Cricetulus griseus: one gene and its partners. Each later gene encodes a partner of the first gene's protein in a complex. Links are inferred from orthologs where the notes say so. Each region holds a gene or a part of one and is shown in the gene's direction. Other genes may lie near its edges. The genes, in order: Nr0b2, Nr5a1 and Nr5a2.

The links.
Region 2: the proteins of Nr0b2 (region 1) and Nr5a1 are in contact, whole or in part, in a crystal structure (PDB 1YMT), measured with the Mus musculus proteins. The link is inferred for Cricetulus griseus from reciprocal best matches to the Homo sapiens genes NR0B2 and NR5A1. Residues at the interface, in NP_035980.1 of Mus musculus: Thr19, Ile20, Leu21, Tyr22, Leu24, Leu25, Ser26; in NP_001303616.1 of Mus musculus: Ile275, Val278, Arg282, Phe287, Val292, Gln295, Met296, Leu299, Gln300, Asn450, Leu452, Glu455, Met456.
Region 3: the proteins of Nr0b2 (region 1) and Nr5a2 are in contact, whole or in part, in a crystal structure (PDB 1YUC), measured with the Homo sapiens proteins. The link is inferred for Cricetulus griseus from reciprocal best matches to the Homo sapiens genes NR0B2 and NR5A2. Residues at the interface, in NP_068804.1 of Homo sapiens: Arg17, Pro18, Ala19, Ile20, Leu21, Tyr22, Leu24, Leu25, Ser26, Ser27, Ser28; in NP_995582.1 of Homo sapiens: Phe354, Val357, Arg361, Phe366, Val371, Asp372, Gln374, Met375, Leu378, Gln379, Asn529, Asn530, Leu531, Glu534, Met535.

What each region holds. Positions count from the first base shown.
Region 1 is NC_048595.1:19,710,299-19,714,639, reverse strand, and holds Nr0b2 (nuclear receptor subfamily 0 group B member 2), read left to right. Parts: upstream 1-1,379; coding exon 1,380-1,920; intron 1,921-3,640; coding exon 3,641-3,882; 3' UTR 3,883-4,144; downstream 4,145-4,341. UniProt on the Homo sapiens protein: Transcriptional regulator that acts as a negative regulator of receptor-dependent signaling pathways. Specifically inhibits transactivation of the nuclear receptor with which it interacts.
Region 2 is NC_048599.1:149,962,829-149,966,498, reverse strand, and holds the end of Nr5a1 (steroidogenic factor 1), read left to right. Parts: intron 1-2,107; coding exon 2,108-2,355; 3' UTR 2,356-3,455; downstream 3,456-3,670. UniProt on the Homo sapiens protein: Transcriptional activator. Essential for sexual differentiation and formation of the primary steroidogenic tissues. Binds to the Ad4 site found in the promoter region of steroidogenic P450 genes such as CYP11A, CYP11B and CYP21B.
Region 3 is NC_048598.1:52,341,029-52,344,698, forward strand, and holds part of Nr5a2 (nuclear receptor subfamily 5 group A member 2), read left to right. Parts: intron 1-664; coding exon 665-1,311; intron 1,312-3,670. UniProt on the Homo sapiens protein: Orphan nuclear receptor that binds DNA as a monomer to the 5'-TCAAGGCCA-3' sequence and controls expression of target genes: regulates key biological processes, such as early embryonic development, cholesterol and bile acid synthesis pathways, as well as liver and pancreas morphogenesis.

The sequences.
Region 1 (4,341 bases):
GTGTGGCTGCCTGTCTAAAGGATAGAGTGGGGGCAGCTTCTTGGCCTACACAGAACCTTGCTCTGTCAAGTCCCAATACCACAGGAGCCCTGATTGTCTCCACCAAGGCTCACAGAACCCTGGAGAGCAGCTGACTGGGAATCATGGAGCCAAGACCAGATGCCAGGGCTCCTCATCCGGAGCACCAGGTTGCCCAAGAGTGTGGCGACAACAAACCTGCTAGGCAAGGCTAGCCAAAGGTCAGGAACCTGACACAGCCAAGGACCTCCCATTTCCCTCATACCTCGCCTCTAACCACTGAAGACAAATATCCAGGGCAGAGAAGCGGCGTGTTAGCAGAGATGTTTCCAGTCGCACCATAGGTGGGCCACACCTGCAGACCAGGCAGGGGCTGGGGGCTGGGAGTGGGGGTAGCTGCTAGCCACCTGTGCTGGGAAATTCACACTTCAGCTGCACAGTTGATTGGGGGGGGGGGAGGGGCAAACAAGGATGACTTCGAGGTCAGACATATCTGTGCTCTGTCCCTTCTGGTTGGAGTGACTTTGAGCAGGTCACTTCTCTGGGAAGTTCTCAACATTACAAGGGAAAGTGATCCATATAGAGTGGGTCCTCAGTAACTGGCAGCCTTGTAAGTAACAATTTTGCAAGGGCCAGCAGGCCCAGCCCCTCTGGAGCTATTGGAGCACAGAATGGGAGCAGGGGGCTCTGGAATGGCCTTCCTCCAACGGGGCCTCTGCACTGGAGTCACAGGAGGGGGTACCTCCTAGACTGTACAATGAGCAAAGTCCCCCAGGGACCTGGCTCCCTTCCCTGCAGCCTGTTCCTTACCGACAACAGGAGCAGAGCCCCAAGGTTAGGCAAACACAGCAGCGATAAGGCACTTCCAGGCTGGGTCAGGCATTCAAGGCCTTAGCTGGCTTTCTCTGGCTGGCTCCTTGGCTCAGTGAGAACCCTGGTCTTGTGTGCATGAAAGTGGGCTCCAATCGAAACAGCAGCAGTCACAGCCACTGGCTGGTTGAGCACCTGAGACCTTGGTGCCCTGGTACAGCCTGGGTTAATGACCTTGTTTATACACTGAGTCATCCGATAAAGGGCATCCAGGCAGTGGGCAGGTGGCCCTGTGCCCTGCAATGGCCACTTCATTGACTAAAGCGATAGCAACGCCACGTGGAGCTCCAGTGCCCCTCCCCCTCCGGTCCTGCCAGGGTCAGTGTATGTGTGCATTGTGTGTGTATGTTGGCTTTTTTTTTTTTTTCAATGAACATGACTTCTGGAGTCAAGGTTCCACGGCCATTCCCCCTCCCGCCATCGAGGATATAAATAGCACTCACAGTACAGAGGACCGATAGCTGGGAAGAAACAGGAGCGAGATACCAACCATGAACTCCAGCCAGTCTGGGGGCTGCCCCTGCCAGGGCTCTGCAGGCCGCCCTGCTATTCTGTACGCGCTTCTAAGCCCCAGCCTCAGGGCCAGGCCCATTGCACCCGCATCTCGCAGCCACTGCCTCTGCCAGCAGCACCGGCCTGTCCGTCTGAGTGCTCCACAGCGCACCTGCCGGGAGGCCTTGGATGTCCTAGCCAAGACAGTAGCGTTCCTCAGGAACCTGCCGTCCTTCTGCCACCTGCCCCATGAGGATCAGCGACGGCTGCTGGGGGTCTGCTGGGGCCCTCTCTTCCTGCTTGGGCTGGCCCAAGATACTGTGACCTTTGAGATAGCTGAGGCTCCAGTGCCCAGTATACTTAAAAAAATCCTTCTGGAGGAACCCAGCAGTGGTACGCAGGGTACCCAGCTACCCGACCGGCCACAGCCCTCACTGGCTGCCGTGCAGTGGCTCCAGCGTTGTCTGGAGTCTTTCTGGAGCCTTGAGCTGGGTCCCAAGGAGTATGCCTACTTGAAAGGAACCATCCTCTTCAACCCAGGTGAGCTCCCAGACACTCCTGGATGGGGGCCACGCTGGGAGGGGACAGGACCCGTCCAGGAAAAGAATCGTTGTCTCTTTGCGTCCTTGTTAGCTCCAAACAGGTATCTCCCAGGAGAGACAGGGAGGTTAAGCAACTACCTGAAGGCCACACAGTAAGGCAGAGGCAGAACAGGCCTGGGAATGCAAGTCAAGCTAATGCAGAGATTGGTCTTTGCCGCTGTGCTGGAAGGGTAGAGTGGGTAAGGCAGACACCGCCGTGTGCAGTGTCTGCCTTCTTCAAGGGCAGGCTGCACAGTGAAGTTCTGAAGGTTAAAGTCCTCCGTGGGTTCAGAGCGGCCACACAGAAAGAATGGAAGGGTGGGGAGTGGTCACTTCTTGGGTGGAGAGCAGATGGGGTGGGGTGAGGGGCGATGAGGAGAAATGAGGCGGTTTTACCACGGAACCCTGGCTGGCCTAGAACTCACTACGTAAAGCAAGTTGACCTCAAACTAACACCATGCCTGGCATGGGAAAATATTCTTTGTAACTTTGAGGAAGACAAGAGACAGGCCTTGGAAGTTAAAGTGTAACGCCAAACGGCAGTAACAGTACCAAAGAATCACATGCATTTCCCATATGTCAGGACTTAGCCTAAGGGTTTTACAAATAGTGATTTGGTTAAACCTCACAGCAGTAGTGGGCAACAAGTATTGTCATTGTTCCCACTAGATAGATGAAGAAACTAAGGCACAGAGATTTAAACTACTCATCTAAGGTCACTCAGAAAGATGAAACTACTTGTCCAAGATCACTGAGCTCACAGTGGCAGTGCTGGGATTCAAATTCAGCCAGCCTCGAACTCACAGAGATCCGCCTGCCTCTGCCTCCCGAGTGCTGGGATTAAAGGCCTGCCACGAACAACCGGCCTCTGGTTCTTTTTTGGTTTTGGCTTTTTGTTTTGTTTTTTGAAACAGAGTTTCTCTATGTAACAGCTCTGACTGTCCTGGAAGTAGCTCTGTAGACCAGGCTGGTCTTGAATTCACAGAGATCTAACCGCCTCTGCCTCCCAAGTACAGGGATTAAAAGTGTGTCACCACCTCGAAAATCTGTCTCAAAAAACAAAATAAGAAAAGAATTATTTAGATATTATTTTATGTGTGTAAGTTTCTACCTGTATGTATGTGTATCATCTGGTGGGAGCTCACAGAAGCCGGAAGAGGGTGTCAGGAATTGGAATTATAGGCAGTTGTGAGCCACAATGTAGGTGGGAACCGGACTCAGGTCCTCAGTCATAGCAGGAAGTGCCCTTAACCACAGAGCCATCTCTCTAACTCGTATGTCTCAGCCCTTATCTCCACATAAATGGAATAAAATGTAGGAGATGGTGATTGAAACCTCCAAGGTGGCAGAGTGGGCCAATGCGTGGAACTCATTAGTAAAGTATTACCTCCCGAGCTACAGGTCCTGGGTTTGTTGCCTAACACCACCAAACAATTAGGTCTCTTCTGTATCTGTAAGGGCTGGGAATGTAGTTCAGTGGTACAACTATCGCCTGGCATGTTAAAGGAACCAGCAATGTTCAGCCCAAATGTAGAATGCCTGCCAAGCATGCCCTAGTATGCACGAGGCCCTGCATTGCACCCCGGCATATGAGGGGGGGAGCCACTAACATTCTCACACCCTGGGCTAGCCTCCACGGAGCAGCTGCTCACCAGCCCTCTTCACCCTCTCTGCCACAGATGTGCCAGGCCTCCATGCCTCTTGCCACATCTCCCACCTGCAGCAGGAGGCTCACTGGGCCTTGTGTGAAGTCCTGGAGCCCTGGTACCCTGCTAGCCAAGGCCGCCTGGCCCGAATCCTCCTCATGGCCTCTACTCTCAAGAACATTTCATGCAGCCTTCTGGTGGATCTCTTCTTCCGCCCTATCATCGGAGATGTTGACATCGCTGAACTGCTGGAAGACATGCTTTGGCTGAGGTGACCTGCAGAGTGGAATCCAGGGCTTCCAAAGGGGAGCTTCAACTCCCCAGGAGCAGCCCTCACCTCAGCCATGCCCCCAGCTTGGACTTCCTTGGTTTGGACACAGTATACTAACTGCCTAATAGGTCCTTGGTGGCCCCCCAAAGTCTTTGGGCCAGGGACAGAGATGGGAGCATGAATGAGGCTGTACTTCAGGCCAGAATTCCTCCTGACTTTGTATAGAACTCAATTAAGTTATTGATTTTTGTAATAAAAGGTATGACCTGCTGACACCACGGTTGCCTATGGAAGGGGCAAGCCGTTCTTCAGGGTGCATGCTCCTCTTGCCAGATGGAACTCCTGGAATGTAAGCAGAAACCAGCTCCTTAGTGTTCTAGAGAGGGACAGTGACCTCAATGCTGGGGACAAGGTTTATTTTACAACTGAATGAGAAGCCACCAGAAAGCATCCTCTTACTACC
Region 2 (3,670 bases), on another chromosome or scaffold:
CTTTCTCCTGTTATGAATGTCAGACTAGCCCAGGGACAGTATGATGATGATAGTGGATGGAACAGAGATGGGATTGGAATGGGGAAAAGATTGAGGCAAGGACAGATGGGATCAGTAGGCATCTCTTGCTTCCAGACCAACTTGGTGGATTGACTTCCTATGATCACCTTTAACTGCAGTGAAGCTAGCCAGGCTAGAGAGTCGGGTTGCTATGTACAGTTGGGTTGGTTTCACTGTACAGGGGCACTGAAGCAGGGAAGGACTGGGCTTGGATTTAGGTATATCTCTCCAGAGGGAGCTTTTTTCTAAAGTACATAAAGATGTCTCATGAACTGGTGGCTATCCCAGGGAGTAGAGGAAGAAAATGACTCTGGCTCATTTATTGGAGGGTGATGGGAGCCAGGGTGGAGGCCAGCAGCTGCCAAATCCTGCCATACGACTCAGGCCCAGCTCGGGTTTCCCTAAATCCATCTTTGAACAACACAGGCCCCAGGGGGTGTGCTGGGGGTGGCAAGGATCAGGGTTGCCAGGCACCTCAGCTTTCCTGGTGCAGTGGGTGTTAAGAGGGATTAGAGGGCCAAGAGCGCATGCTGGCCCAACTCCCCACAGTGGAAAGACTGGGGTGCATCAAGGGAGCAAAGCAGATGAGTGACCCATCTTCTGACCCCCTGGAAGCCACAGCTCAGGGAGGCCAGGATAGGCTCTGGGGCTGATGTTAAACTTCTAGGTAGGGCATGAGCTAAAAAAGGCTGGGAGCTGGGAGCTGACCAACAAGGAAAGGTTCCAAACACCCCATTTCCAGCACCCTTCTCTGAGGAAGGTTACCTTTATGCCGAATAGAGAGGCACTCTTCCACAGGGCTGCTGCTCCTAACCAGCTCCAAAGACCTCTTTTGTGTCTAGCCCAGGACTAAGGCCCAAGGATGCTCTGCTCACACTTCAGCTCCTGCCACCTGCTCCTTTCTCTGTAACAGCGAGCTGGTCCTCCATGTCTAACTACAGCTTCATGGTCACCATTGTTCTCACACAGCATGTCTGTGTGGTGACAGCTAGCCTGCCTGCCTTCCTTCCTCCCACTCCCTTCATGTTTTGATAGCATAGAGGAGAGAACCAGGGCCTGTGTGTGACAGGCTACTTTAAGCCACACTTCAGCACCATTTTAAATTTATGTGAATGGCTTTACTTTAAAAACTTCCAGCTCTTCTGTTGCCTCTCACTTCCCACTGCACCCCACTTTTCAACATGGCTCTATGTGCTCTAGGTCTGTTCATTCTACAACTCCCCAGATGTAACTGGCACACAGCCACCTAGGCCCCTCTTCCTCACCATGAGCAGTGCTGCAAAGAAGCTGATTCCAGAACCCCAGGACTGAATTTATGGAGTCTCTTTCCAGGGCATATCCAGAGTACTCATGGGATTGACACCCCAAGACAGGTCCTTTTGACAGTGATGTTCATGCCTGGGGGCTAGGGGGTTAGCCACAGCTAGACTTTGATGTGTTTTCCCATGAGTCAGTACCTTACATTTCTGGAGGGACCAGTGCATCTCATTTTATAGATGAGAAAATGGAGAGGTGTAAACACCACACCTGGCCATGCACCTGCTGCTGTTGATGATGATCTTGGTGATTGTCAAGTATCCATAGTGACAGCAGCAGTGATGACTGAGCTAGTGATATGATTTACTGGTTGGTGATGGTGGTGACCATACTGGTGATAAAACAGGGATTTTTAGGTGTTTTAAATGCCTTTAATCCACTGGGGAGACAGGGAAAAGTAGGTGGGTCTCTGTGAGTTCAAGACCAGCCTGGTCTACAAAGTGAGTTCCAGGCCAACGAAGGAGATCTATGTGACCCTGTCTCAAAAATAAAGAGAAGAAAAAAAAAATCAAAGGAAGCACAAGCTTAGGAAACTAACCAAAATGATGTCAGTGATGTGCTGGTCCCAGGGTGGAGATAGGGAGGTTGCCATTGAGAGGCTCATGGCAGTCTCTGTACCCATAGGTTTGGTATCCCCTGGGAATGTGGTGTTGGTAATACTGCTGACAGTGTCAGCCCAACTTTGGTGGTGGCACAGTGACTGGAGGGTGATGGACTGCTCCCGTTGCAGATGTGAAATTCCTGAACAACCACAGCCTGGTGAAGGATGCCCAGGAGAAAGCCAACGCTGCCCTGCTGGATTACACCTTGTGTCACTACCCGCATTGCGGGGACAAATTCCAGCAGTTGCTATTGTGCCTGGTGGAAGTAAGGGCACTGAGCATGCAGGCCAAGGAGTACCTGTACCACAAGCATTTGGGCAATGAGATGCCCCGCAACAACCTTCTCATTGAGATGCTGCAGGCCAAGCAGACTTGAGCCTGGGCACCTGGAAACAGGCAGTAGGTGGGGATGCCACTGCCTCCAAATGACTCATTGCATTAGGTGATCCAGGAGTCCTGTCCTTAGGCCCCTGCCCCCGAGTTCTGGAGCTGTGTGCTTGGGATGGTGGGTCAAAGATGGACAGGGACTACCTGGGGCAGGTTGCCTTCACCAGCCACTGGCACAAACCTGCCACTTGGAGTGCCCCAAGGAAGTGGCTTCTAGCCACTCCTTCCTCCATCTGCCCCCAGATTCTTTCCTGGCATCTGAGGTACAAGTCCCGGGAGGAGGTTTGGGATTCCCTGGATGTTCCTTGGGTCAGAGGTCATCCTTTCCCTCTCTCCTGTAATCAGAGGCAGGGGAAGGTCTACAGCATAAATGAGGGCAGAGGAGGGTCTCTAGACTCCCCTGAAGAAGGGAAGGAAGTCCAATGTTGTAAACTGAGTTTGCTAAATTGGGTAGGGTCTTCCCTGGAGGGTACCAAGAGACTGGGTCAGGTACAAAGACCCCTCTCCAGCTCTCCACCTGTCTAATTCTGATTCATTACCTGAAAAAAGACTTTGTTGTAATCATCTTCCTATCCACCCAGGGAGGAGGAGTCTGGTGTTGTCAACATTTGTACCTTGGCTGGGCTGGTACTTATTTGTAAGTTTGTAGTCACCAGGATTCTTTGGTGTTTGCTTTTCCTTTCCCCTAGACAGTCCTTGGAAGGAAAGAGAGAGAGAGAGAGAGAGAGAGAGAGAGAGAGAGAGAGAGAGAGAGAGAGAGACAGCAGGAGATAGATTGAGGACTGAGCTGGGATGTGGGGATTAGCACTGAAGTTTTTTCTCCTGATATCTCATTCCAAGAGTCAGGGTGGCATCGGGTCATCTTTATGTACCCCACCTTACTCCAGAGAAGAGCTGTTGCTTGCCCTCTGCCTGCTCCACTAGAGTCCCTGCAGGTGGGGATATGGGAAACCTAGGAGGACTCAGGAGTCTTTAGATGGAGGCAGTGCTGAGGAGTCTCTCCTCTCATGGCTTCATCCTTTTGGGTCTCCTGCCACAACTCTAGAAGCTGGCCTCAGTTGCCTGACCTCTGCTTTGTATCCTGGAAGTCTCTTTTCAGGGCCAGACACTGAGGGTGGGGTGGGGTGGGGGGAAGACCTAAGCCATCCTCTGTTCCAGACTGGGCATCCATTGTCCTTCCTGCGATCATATCAGATTTACAGCTTATGCTAGGCCTGCCCGGCTGGACAAGGCTGCCTCCTGCCTTCCACCACCCTGCCTCAGACCCCACCTCTGCCCCTGAAATGTGTGCCCCTGCCAAGGCC
Region 3 (3,670 bases), on another chromosome or scaffold:
GCACAGCAGAGCCTCCGGTCAACTTTTGAAATGACTTTGTTTTAATTACGTCCAATCCCCCTTAAATTCAAAGCATGGCTGGTGGTTTTTCGAATGTGCTGTCATCAAGTCCAGGTGAAAGGGGTTTTCCAAGAAGAACCTGTACTTAACTAACCTTTGTAACAAAGTGTCCAAAAATCACAGCTAATGAGGACGATGTTGGGAGAGGAGGTACTTAATTCCGAAATGAGTTGATTCTCTTTTTCTTTAAAACAACAAAACAAAACAAAACAAAAATGACACAGACACATACACAGGTACACAGCAGGAATACAATTTTGGTTTCCATGAGAAATCATGACATAGCTTGCATACTAGAAACTGGCCTACCCAGAAAGGAACCCGCTCCCCCATGAATATTAAATATCTGTTGTGAAACTTTTTCAGTCCACACAGGTTTCCCAAAATATGTTTTTGATAACAAAGCCCACTTGAAGGAAAGAATTCATTAGGAAGGCATTTCTTCTTGGAATATCTCTGTAGGTTATCACAATGAAAATACACACAACATACACACATGCACTGAAATCACTTCCTGTGAATTACCAATAATTTGAAATGTCTAGAGATCTTGCAGAATGCTAACTTCCCTCTTATATACCCTTCCTTTCTCCTCTGTCAATAGCCGTAAGAGCTGACCGCATGCGAGGAGGCAGAAATAAGTTTGGGCCAATGTACAAGAGAGACAGGGCCCTCAAGCAACAGAAGAAAGCTCTCATTCGAGCCAATGGACTTAAGCTGGAAGCCATGTCTCAAGTGATCCAAGGGATGCCCTCAGACCTGACCATCTCCTCTGCAATTCAGAACATTCATTCTGTCTCCAAAGGCCTACCTCTAAACCATGCTGCCTTGCCTCCCACAGACTATGACAGAAGTCCCTTTGTCACATCTCCCATTAGCATGACAATGCCACCTCATGGCAGCCTGCAAGGTTACCAACCATATGGTCACTTTCCTAATCGGGCCATCAAGTCTGAGTATCCAGATCCTTACACCAGCTCACCTGAGTCAATGATGGGCTACCCCTACATGGATGGTTATCAGACGAGCTCCCCAGCCAGCATCCCACATCTGATCCTGGAACTTTTGAAGTGTGAGCCAGATGAGCCTCGAGTTCAAGGGAAAATCTCATCTCAGTTACAGGAGGACCAGGGCCTCCGAGGCAAGCATGGAAAGCTGAACACGTTTGGGCTTATGTGCAAAATGGCGGACCTGACCCTCTTCTCCATTGTTGAATGGGCCAGGAGTAGTATCTTCTTCAGAGAACTGAAGGTATGTCATGCCTACTCTCCTCTCAAAGATCTGACTAGGTTCCTCACCATTACTTATGTTCTTGGTGCTTAGAATAGGTTCTCCTTTTGTTTATATGACTTAAACAAGAGGTCTTTGTGACTATTACTGCAAGGTTATTACAGCTTAACTTGATAGGGCTTTGGTTCTGGGTAGCTCCTAATTGGGATATGCTGTTGAACAAGACATTAAGTACTGTTTTGTTCCCATATAGCAGAATGCACTCATCTCTTCTAACTCAGAGATGGTTTGTTTCCCCCAAAATGCAACATCAAACAGCTACTAAACTAATTTTTTCAAGTGACTACGTCACAAACTATGTTATAATGATATTATCTGGAAGGTTTCTTTTCAAAGGGGAAAAAATGCCAATGTTTAATTGTTTCAGATCTTGCAAAGTGCAGATGATACCACTGCCTAGTGGTGTCAAGTAGGCATTTACTATTTGTTTGCCCTGACATTAGGGCAGTAAAACCATTGTTTTCAGAACAGATTCCAGTAGGATGCTGACTTTATTGCATGGGGAGTGAGCCAATGGCCAGTGCTTGTCTGTTGGGTTCCTTGCAAATGTCTGCGGTTTAAGTAAATGGGTTGGTGCGTTGTAAACACACCACTTGTTTGCATAAGGATCTGTGTTTAACTACATGATTATTTTATTTCCTGAAACTTAAAACTGAATTAATACAGGCAAGTTATTTAGGAGTTTGGCATCTGAGCAGTGACCAAACCACATTTTGTAACTAATCATTCCATTCCCAATTTAAGCAAATCCCTAACTTTGATTTCTAAGGCCATTTCATTATAAAATCAGCCTCATGCTTTTGCTGTCAGGGTGGGAGAGGTGATAAGTATCTGTGACTTCTGATAACCTATCGATAGGCCGACTTTTAGTGGAAAGGCTTATCATTAAACATGTGCTGTGCAGACAGAGGGGTGGGGAATATAGAAGCTATGTGCTGAGGGAAGATATGTTCTTCACCGAAGTCTTCCAGCGCCAAGATGTTTGTATGTGGAAACAGAATTACCCGAGTAGATCTAAATAGGTTAACCCAATGCCAGCAGCATGCAGTGATGATACATCCTGCCTACCTTTTTTTTCTCCTGTCCTTTATTGCTACACGGAAAGGTGGCTGAAGGTGAAGTGACTAGGCTGCTGAGAGCAAACAGAAAACACTGAGCTAGCATGATAAAACCAGGTGCTTTCCGAGTAGGTAGTATAGAGAACCACTCTAAGAGAGAGCATCCTTTATTTAAAAAGCAAAAACCAAACACTCTAATTTTCTGGGTGCTTTTATATTCATAACCATGTCCCTATGAGGACAGATGAGCTACTTAAAAATGAAAGTGTTTTTGGCTGCAGCTGGAAGGCAAAGTGATGTATATAAACGAGGAAAGCCATTGGGGTTAGTAAAATGGACTTGAGCTGAATGACATCCCCTGGGTGTGTGGCTGTGTGTACTGCAGGCAGGGATCAGTGTTGCCAGAGTCTTAATGTTCTCACCTGTAAAACTGCATGCACTGTGGAAGAGTGCCAGAGAACTAATGATGTTTGTGTTGAGGTGGTTCTGCAAGGAAAGACACGAACGTGTATGTGAAAAGTACTTAGCACTCTGGGTTTGACACTGCAGGCACAGTAAAGGGGTATTTTCTTTAAGTTATTATAGTTGCTTGATGAAAGACTTTATGTAACAACCTTATGTTCAATCTTACATTATTAATGTGGCACTGGGAAATGGTATGAATCAAGTGTTACAAGAGATGGTATGATTGTATTGTGATGAATAGTCAAAGCAACTCCTGAAATAGCCAGGTAGTAAGTTAGCTGTGTAAGGATGAATATAAAGTTGGTTGAGATAAAAGATATTTCTTCCTAAAGTTTCTAATAATTTTGCATATAATTTTGCATATATAATTTCTTAAAAGAAAACCAAACCAAGACAACCTGGTATAGAGGCATATGTTTGTAATCCCAACACTCAGAGGGTTAGGACAGGAGGTTTGCTGTGAGTTCAAGGCCATCTAGTTCACACAGTGAGTTCTAGGCTGGCCCGGGTTACAGAATGAGATCCTGTCTCAAAACAAAAAAGAACAACAAATTTCTTTTAGAAAAGACTACGAAGAAATGTGTTTTAAAAATCAGTGGGGGCTGGGGTGATGGCTCAGTACTGACTGCTCTTCTAGAGGACCCAGGACACCTACAAGACAGCTCACAACTGTCTATAACTCGAGGTCCAGGTGATCCAACACCTTCATACAGACATACATGCATGTAAAAACACCAATGCACATTAAATAAATATAAATAAAATATAATAAAGAAGAACTTAGAAAAAAAAACAGG